2 linked regions of the Rattus norvegicus genome follow. The protein of the gene in region 1 interacts with the protein of each later gene in a biochemical or structural test. Links are inferred from orthologs where the notes say so. Each region holds a gene or a part of one and is shown on either strand. Other genes may lie near its edges.

Evidence for each region. The genes of interacting proteins can lie anywhere in the genome.
Region 2: of the proteins of Limk2 (region 1) and Rock1, one has a biochemical effect on the other in vitro, tested with the Homo sapiens proteins (2 studies listed by BioGRID). The link is inferred for Rattus norvegicus from reciprocal best matches to the Homo sapiens genes LIMK2 and ROCK1.

What each region holds. Positions count from the first base shown.
Region 1 is NC_086032.1:82,446,519-82,450,861, forward strand, and holds part of Limk2 (LIM domain kinase 2), read right to left. Parts: intron 3,006-4,343; coding exon 2,874-3,005; intron 2,683-2,873; coding exon 2,626-2,682; intron 1,329-2,625; coding exon 1,263-1,328; intron 402-1,262; coding exon 227-401; intron 1-226. UniProt on the Homo sapiens protein: Serine/threonine-protein kinase that plays an essential role in the regulation of actin filament dynamics. Acts downstream of several Rho family GTPase signal transduction pathways.
Region 2 is NC_086036.1:1,506,078-1,510,961, forward strand, and holds the start of Rock1 (rho-associated protein kinase 1), read right to left. Parts: upstream 3,071-4,884; 5' UTR 2,210-3,070; coding exon 2,117-2,209; intron 1-2,116. UniProt on the Homo sapiens protein: Protein kinase which is a key regulator of the actin cytoskeleton and cell polarity.

The DNA.
Region 1 (4,343 bases):
CAAAAGATCCTCAGAGCTCACCTGCCACCCAGGATGGCATGTTGCTGTTCCCAGCTGTTTGGGAAAGAAGTCTATGAGGCCTGACTTGGCCAAGCCCGAAAGATCGCCCACCCCCTCTCTCTGAGTGTCTGCTCCTGTCACATGCTTCCCAGCTTACAGCACTCTTTTTAAGACATAGGTGCTGTCTTCTCTCTGGCTCTTTTCCCTCCAGGCATTCAGAACTTACCATTCAGCATCTCAGGGGCCATCCAGTAGGGGTTTCCCACCACAGTGTAGCGCTTCTTGCGATCACTCTTGCGTAAGGTGCGTTTCTTGGTGGCGGCCTTCTCTACTGGAGGCCTTTTCCTCTCTTCCACTATGAGACGTGACAGCCCGAAGTCTGCTACCACCACCGTCTTGTCCTGGGAGGACAAGCGCCAGGTCAGGACCTAGGGTGTGGGCTTCTCTAACTTGTCCCTGGGGTGTGGGCATAGGCAAGGGAGACCACCTTCAAGGGGAGTGAAGTTACAAAGCAGGGGAGAGTCACCCCAGAAAGCTCTACTGAGAAGCGGTGGCTGGGCCTCTGAGTTTTTTGTCAGTCTGATATCTGTCCACAGCAGACCCCAACTAACAGGGGAGGAGCCTCAGGGAAGTGACCTGCAGAGCGCAGCTCAGGTGGGTAAGGATTTCTTGTCTCTCTTCAGCCCTTTGTCTTGTTCTTAACAAGGACTTGTGGCCAGAATAGGTTAAGAGAAAAGGCAGTAAAGGACAGGGGAGAGCTAGGGAGGCAGTAGCAGGAAGGGGGGTTGCAGTGGCAGGAGACAACACTGGAACAACTGTATCTGAGGGCTGTGTGAGGAACGCTGGCCTCGTGCTGGCTGTGTGGATCAAAGACCCTGCAGCCCGTCGTCCATGTTGTAAAGTGGGATCAGCAGACTGTCTGAGGGCCTGCTACAGGGCAAGAGCTCCACAGACAAGGAATTCAGCCCCCATCCACACCTAGACTCCTGCCCCACCAAATCAGTGTAGGGGATTGAGCCCAGGGCCTTCTGCCTGCCAGACAGGGAAGCTAATCCCTTCTAATAATAATCACTTCAAGGGCTGCTCCTGGGGAGGGAGGTGAAATCGTTCCTGTATGTGTGTGTCTGAGAGCCTCCATAAGATGGGGGTGGCAAAAGGCACTTGAGGTAGCCGAGCGCCCAAAATAGAAGCCCATAGGTGGTGTCTGGTCTGAAGCCAGAGGGATAGCCCCATGCAGCTCAGGCCAGCCCAGCGGGACGTACCAATTTGATGAGACAGTTGTGCGAGTTCAGATCTCGGTGGATGATGCACATGGAGTGTAAATAAGCCTGCAACAGAAGCCAGAGCCATGGAGCCTGTTCCCAGGCCACGCCCACCCATGGAGTCTATTCCCAGGCCACGCCCACCCATGGAGCCTGTTCCCAGGCCACGCCCACCCAGCTTCCCCTCCCCCAACACCCAGCTACTCCAGTCTTCTAGGCCAAGCCTGTTTAGCTTCCCATCCCTACCCCTAAGCCACAGCTTGTATCCTAACTCCAACGGATAACTGCCAACTCCTGCCCAGGTTTTCCCAACAGTCTCCAGCCCTGCTGGCCCCTGAGTCCCTCATCCTTTACTTAGATTGAGGCAATCTAAAGTGAGCGCCCTCAAACACACTGTTCCTCCCTCCTCCTCCAGGGTCTGGCTTCTGCTACTTTGGATCTTCCTGCCTGGTGGGGAAGAAATGACCTCCTGACTCACCTCCCCTGAGACGCCCTCCTCCTCTGTCTGTACTTCAGCCCCTCCCTCTTCCTGTCCAGCCATTTCTAAACTATTTTTACTAGACATTCCCGTGTCACTCTTAGGAGCTACTTTCTTAGGCTTTCCTTTCCCTGTAGCTGTGGAGGGTGACACTGCCCCCTTTCCTACCCTGTACTACTGCTTCACTGTTCCTAAGCCCACAGAGCTTTTCCTATGGCTGAAACACATGGCCTGGCTGTCTACCCACCCCTCCTCAAAGGCTGTCTATATCTCCCATGTACCCCTTTTTTCCTGAGACCCCTGTGTGCTACCATTTCCCTTCCTGCCTGCACTGCTCTTGTCTGCCCTGTTCTCTTTAGAGCTGGGTGACCACCCGAGAACTGACAAGCCCAGGACCCAGCCCTTTCCTTTTCTACCTCACTTCTTCCCTGTAAACCACGGTTACTGGAGGAAGGAGAGGTGGGGTGCAGCCCCTCCCTCCCCGCTGTGTGGAATAGTCACTTCATTAGCACCCGTCAGCTGTGAGGACAGCTAGACTCATTCCCACAATGCGCTCAATAGGACCTGAATGTACTGGCTTCTCCTGAGTTCATCTAGAATTCGTGTTCTCCCCCTTCTCCTCATTTTGTGGGCAGTAAGGTCCCACAGACCTGAGCTACAGTTTGCCTTGTTCATGCCATTTGGTGTTAAGGGGATTTGGAATCCTTTGAGAATAGAATTGTACTCTGAAAGAGAGTTTTGAGCCAACAGTTCCTTGGCATTGAAAGAAACTCAGTAGGCAGCTGCTGAGTGTCCCAGCCCCGGGATGGGCATCTGCCTTCCCCAGCAGCCTGCGATCCCTGCACCTCACTGTACACATGCGTGAGGTTGTTGGGTAGGACTCACCATTCCGGAAGCGATGCCTTTGGCAAACCTGACCTTCTGTTGCCAGGGAAACGGGTCCTGCAGGGTAGGAGAATGTCTGTGAGGAGCCCTTACAGCTTTTGGTAGGTTCTAGTGGCCGGCATGTGTGCTGTGGAAGCCCTCCAGTCCCTCCCAGTACACACCATTGAGGGCAAACAAGGTCCCTCTAACCCTTGAGGTTCCTGAGCACCCAACAAGCTCTCCCTCCACGACTGTGGTCACGTGCTCACCACATTGCGCAGAAAGTCCTTCAGGGTGCCCCCCTCAATGTACTCTGTCAGCAGATTCAGCTTCTTGTCCTTGTACAGGACCCCGATGAACTTAAGCACGTTAGGGTGGTCCAGGCTTCGCATCACTTTCACCTGGGTGGGGGGGGACAAAATGAGGACAGCCCCCACTTCATGGGTTTGGCACACTGGGCCCTAACTTTCTAGAACGGGTTCTAGGGAGCCAGGTGGGAGTGCAGAGCAGGAAGCACCTCATTGCCACTGCAGCTGCCTCAGTGATCCAGAGGCAGTGCAAATGAGATGTTCATGGGACGGCGCGTCTGCCCCTGGAGCCCCACTTCAGGGTGTCTGTGGCGACCATAACAGCATAAATTAAACTGCTATGGTCATACCATCACCTCTGTAACCCGAATCCCGCCTTAGCCTGGCCTGCAGTGTCTGCAGTGAGTGTGCACTTAACAGGTGCACTGTAATTTCGGGGTCTTTCCCTTGGTTGTTTTCTCTCTTTTTCTCCTCCATCCCCTCTGCTTTCCTTCCTCTCTTATTCTTAAGGACAAGGTCTTTCTAATATCCTTGGCTGGCCTGGAGCTCACCATGTAGCCAAGGCTGGCCTTGAACTCAGAGATCCACCTGCCTCTGAGGGTGCTGAGATTAAAGGTGTGTGTTACCACACCAGAATCTCTCCCTGGGTTTAAGATAATGGCTGAGGGCTGGGGGGATGGCTCAAAGTGTCAGAGCACTGGCTGCTCTTCAGAGGACCTGGGTCTACTCACGGCCACCCACATGACTGCTCGCAACTACCTATAACTCTAGTCCCAGGGCCTCCTCTGGTATGCAGATGTACATGCAGACCAAACACCCATACACATAAAAAGTCAATAATAACAACAACAATGAAACTTAAAAGACTGAGACCAAATAAACAGGGATTTCTTAATAATAAAATGGTGGCTGATGCGAGATTTCTTGTTTTCTTCACCTTTTCTCCGCCCCCACCCCACTGCCCCCAATTATTGTTCTTTCTCTCTCCCTCCTGTCTTTTGGTTGAACACAGTGCCTGGTGCAGGCTGTGCAGGCTCTGTATTACTGGGTTATTCCCTAGCTCAACCCTTATTTATTTATCCATAATTTATTTTATGAGTATGAGTGTTCGGCTCCATGTACGTATGTGCCCCGTGTGTGCCCGTGTGAGCCCCGTGTGTGCCTGTGTGAGCCCGTGTGAGCCCCGTGTGTGCCTGGTGCTGGCACAGGTCAGTGTGGGCGTCAGAGCTGGAGCTGTGGATGGTTGTGAGCCACTGTGGGTGCTGAGGACAGAACCCAGGTCCTCTGCATGAGCGTACATGCTCTTACCTGCTGAGCCATTCCTCCAGCTCCCCAGGTTTACTTTGTTTTAAGCCTCATTACACTGCCTAGCCTAGCCTTGAACTTCCAGTCCTTGAACAGGCGTGACCGGACTGGGCCACGAGGTCTGCT
Region 2 (4,884 bases), on another chromosome or scaffold:
CTACAGGCAATTTCTCCACACTTATACCACTATCTTGCAAATATAGCAAATTTAAAATATATCAGTAGGTCTATTCTCAAGCAATTCCCAAACTTGATTATTTTCACCATTTTTAATATATAGAACTCAGGCTCAATATTTTTGGAGTCACTGGACTAGTACCCCTGGGTTCTTTCAACTCAATCATGTTCCATCAATTCTTCCTTCTTCATTGTCATGTCCTAGCTCAGGGCTCCAATTGAGTGAGGACTGTTATGTTAATCTGAAAATTCTCCAATCTCACTTATTCCCAGTCTTTTTCCATACAAACTTATCTTACATAGAACTACTGGATTAATCTTCATTCACTCTGTGATAGCTAATTACACTTAATTAATTCTCCAAATCTAACTCTATCCTCCCAACTTTATCTTGTTTTTCTAAATATGTCACGGTCATTCATGGATGCCCATCCACCCTCTATCTGTTATCCTCAATTCAGTAGCCAATTCATCATAAAGCACACTCTGGCACTCTCAACTCACAGCAATTTTTTCCCCTTCAGTTTCCATTATATAGACAGATGATTGATTGAAAAATACTGAATAATCATTTAGAATTAATCAGTTGTTTTCTCAATCTGTAAACTGCTTACTTTGTTTCTGCACATGTATATAAAAATGTTTTCCTATGCAGATTCAACTCTTTCTAAAGAGCCCATGTACTGTGCATTTATTTCCTTTGTACTCTCCTCGGGTTCCTACTGATGATACTGTAACGAGAGAAAACTAGCAATAAAAAAGAAAGCTCCGAAGCCCTTCCTATAATCTCCTTCCTAACCTGAGGAGCAGAAAAGTAAAATAGGATGAGCAGATCGATGGTGGAGTGCATGCCTCACATGTGCTGGGTTCAACTGTCAGGACCACTAATAACAATAATAAACCTAAGAACAACTTATAGAATTACATCAGACATGGACATTAGCAATGTATAGTTAAGTATGTTTAGAGGAATTCTGAAAGCTTTAATGAGAAACCTTACACATTAAAAGTATAGAATAGTTGAATATACTTTAGAATAACTGAAATACACACTAATTTTAATCTACAAAATTTCCTGATTCAGTATAAAATTTTACAATGTTCTCTCTCTGAATGGCATTATTCTTAAATCTCCAAACTATTGAGTATACAACGCTAATTCTCTAAAATCTCCATGTCCAGATAGACACTGAAACATGATTTGAGATCTTGTGATTGTTTAAAAACTAAAAATATTAGTATACAATTTTCAGTTAGTAGTAAACGGAGAAATTACGTTGATAACTGTATTGGCAGTACTCAAATGCCTATTGTTTACAAATAATTCTTTTTGCTATCAACAACTGGGTAATTTTTATGGTAGGATTTTGGCTTTTTGTGACCTAAAAACTTTAGAATGTTTTTAAAGTGGCAATAATTAGTTTACTACCATACACACACACACACACACACACCACCACCACCACCACCACCACCACCACCACCAGCACCACCACCAACAACAAAAAACGATTCTTAATATATGTGAAATATATTTACTAACAGTGTTTTAAAAGCCACCAAACTTGTGTTGGCCTAAGATTAGTTGTCGTAGGTGTTTGCATTTAACGTTCAACAGTTTCTTTAGCCTCAAGACACCTAAAATTTTTATCTTAAAAATCACTTCCTCAATATCAATTTTCCATTATCATGTCCAAGTATAAATTCCCTAATTCTATAAATAGAAAGTACATTTTTCAATAATACTGTCCAACTAATCGGCGAGGTTAATGCTAAGACCGTCTTTTAACAAACTACACAATATAAACTTTGACGTGTTAACCTTCTGATACAAAGGCTGCGATCTTACTTTCTAGGTATGCTCGGTGGACTGACGAGCTGAATCAAAACCAGAATTTCAGAGTAGGTAGCAGAGAATCACTGAAATTGCTAAAAAAGGGGAGGGGGTGAACAACAGATTTACTGGCGCTCTAAAATTCTTGCAAAAGAGAAATCTGGCATCTTCCCAAGATGACTATGCACACCTGAGACTCGTTGCAGTTAACTAGACTGCAAACAGCAACCCAAGGCAACCCAGAGAAAACAGCAGCACTCACCAGCAAACAATCTGAATTCACTTCCGATTTGGGATCCCGCAGCAGGTTGTCGATTTTTTCAAACCGAGTCTCAAAACTGTCCCCAGTCGACATGATGCTGCTACTTGTGACGATACCTTCGTACCCGCAGCGGAAAGCAAGTTCAACCAACTTCCTCCGCGGTGGGTTTGTAGCCGCGGGGCAGAGGAGCCGGAACCTCGGGGTCACCAGGTGCGCCCGGTTCCCCCTCCTTCCCCTCACTGAGGGGACCTCTGCTCTCTAGACCCCAGGCTGGGGGTGACAGCGACCCGCAGCCGCTCGGACACCCAAAGTCGCATCCCACCCGGCAGCCCCTCGCGACAGCCGACAGCGCCGTCGCCAGCAGCCCGGTCGCTCCGGCGAGGCACCTCAGCCTAGCGGGCCCCGGCTGCCTTCGCCATGGCGGGGCCCAGTCCAGAGAAGGGCAGCGGCGGGAAGAGGGAGCGCAGCAGGGTGGAGACTCCCTCGGGGCAGCCAGGGAGGGCGAAGAGGAAAGGCGAAAGCGAAGGGCGGGTGAGGAGCTGCGCCAGCTGCCGCCTGGGCCCCGGGCCGGCCCCGCTCCGCTCTAAGGCGCTAGCGGCTGTCTAGCCCTGCATCCCGGGTTCCACTCGGCCCGGTAAGACGCACTGATTTATCCTCGGCCAAGAGCTGGTTTCCACAGAACAGGCTCACTCTCCCATTTTATCCGGTCGCTGCTGGGGTTACGGTGTCCGGCCGGGCAGGGTGAGGTCGGTGGCCCGAGGGAGTCTCAGAGGAAGACTAGCTGGAGCGGGCCGATGAGGAAGGCGACCAGAGGGTCCGTGCGGCTGCTGATGCGGGAGCTTCTGGGAGGGGCCGCGGTCCGAGCTGGGAAAAGGGCGAGTCGCGGAGGCGAATGCCTGGGGGGTGGGGCGAGGAGGGCTCAGAGGGACTAATATGTCCGCCTTCCTGTTCAAACAAACGGGGACCGCCGGCGCGCAGTGCGCATGCGCGGCGCGGGCGTTCGGAAGGGGAGCGAGCGGGCCTCGCGCTCGCGCACGCGCACGCAGACGCCCGCCAGGGCGGGGCTGGCCGGGTCGCGACAGGAAGGAGGGGAGAGAGGCGGAGCCGGACACGGGCGGGGCCTGGCAGGCGGAGGGCGAAGAGAAGTCGGAAACCCAGTGGAGGACAGGGAGGAGGGAACGTTTCCCAGCCTCTGGTGGCTGAGCTGGCAGGCGCCCCAGATTTGCTTCCATTGGGCCTCTGGTCGGGAGACTTCTGACAGGAAAAGAAGGCGCTTGTTATCACTGATAGATACTTTTTGCGGGCTAGGAGGGTGCTTTGCTTCTGACGGTACCTGAAAGTTATTCAGCACCAGTGGAGTTTGGATTTTTCCGGAGCATTCTGGTGGGCTCTCCTTGATGCCCACCACGCAGATTCAGTGGGAAAATCACCATGCATTCAGTGTTCCCAAACCCTGTGTGTCAGGGGAGCCTTAAAATGTTGATTCTGGAAGACAGAATCAATAGAAGTCAAATGCAGTTTAATTAAAGGGGGAAAAGTCATAGGAAAATCGATGTTTGTAAGCTATTTCTATTCGTTTCTCACAGCAACTTGTAGTTTTGTCCTGTCTTTAAGATGCACAACTGCAGGGCATTTAGTAAAACTTTAAAAAGAGGGTTTTTTTTTATTACAAATAAAGAAGGATATGAAAATAATGGGCATTTCCTAATTCAGTTTTTCACTTAATGTAGGGAGACAGGCTGAAAAAGGTTTCTGATTATGTTTTTCCCTGCCTTCTGCGGAGTCCAACCTGTATTTGTTTCTAATCAACCCTTGGGTTTCATCATAGGTCAAATGAAAGATTTCTGGTTGACATGTGGATATGTTTCACTGCACACTGAAAAATACTACAGATAAAACAAATGTCCCGATATTGAAATAGCAATGCATAGCATCTGAACAATACATCAGCAAGGGGACCAATTAGGGAAACAATACATTGTTGGAAATTTTTTACTTCTTCATTTTATTAGATACAAGAAATGTTTAGCTATAAAGTCCACTGTGTAAATCAAGTTAGGAAGTAAGTCTTCACAGAAAGTCATGGCCAAAATAAAAAACAGGGACAAACTTCAGGTATTTCATTAAATGCTTTTGCAGTGACTTTTCTTGGCCCAGTATTTTAAGTCAGTCATGTGAATTAGATTTATTTTTAAGCATAGGGCTTAAAATAATCTGGCAGTTTCCCTGAAATAAATTTCCTAAACACTGCTTGTCCTTTATTTTATTACCATTTTTAGGTATTCTTGGGGTTTTTGGGTTTTTTTCCCCCTCAGAGAACTGAATATTATGCTGTTTTCCATTTGGAAACACATGAAAAAGTACAGATAGTTAAGACAACAAGACACCAATAAAGATAAGCAGTTGACAATGTTACGTGCAGTGTATGTGAAGTGTATATATGTACTTTATTTACTTACAAGGCTACTCTGACTATTGTAACATGCCATTACTTATATTCTAACAGTAGATGTTTGTTTTTGACAGGTCAAGTCTCCTAAATAACCCAAACTACAGGTGAATGCCCTGACACCAAGCTAAATTTATTTCTACATTAAAAAGTGTCCAAGTATAACAGAACCATGACATCTTTAAAATTCTATTAGAGACAGGAGAGTTAGAGAAATGACTTAATGGTTAAAGAGTGCTTGCTGTTCTGGGAGAGTACCAGTGTTTGGTTCCTAGCACCCAGGTCAGGCTCAGGACTCCCTCTAGGCCTCTAGGGCACC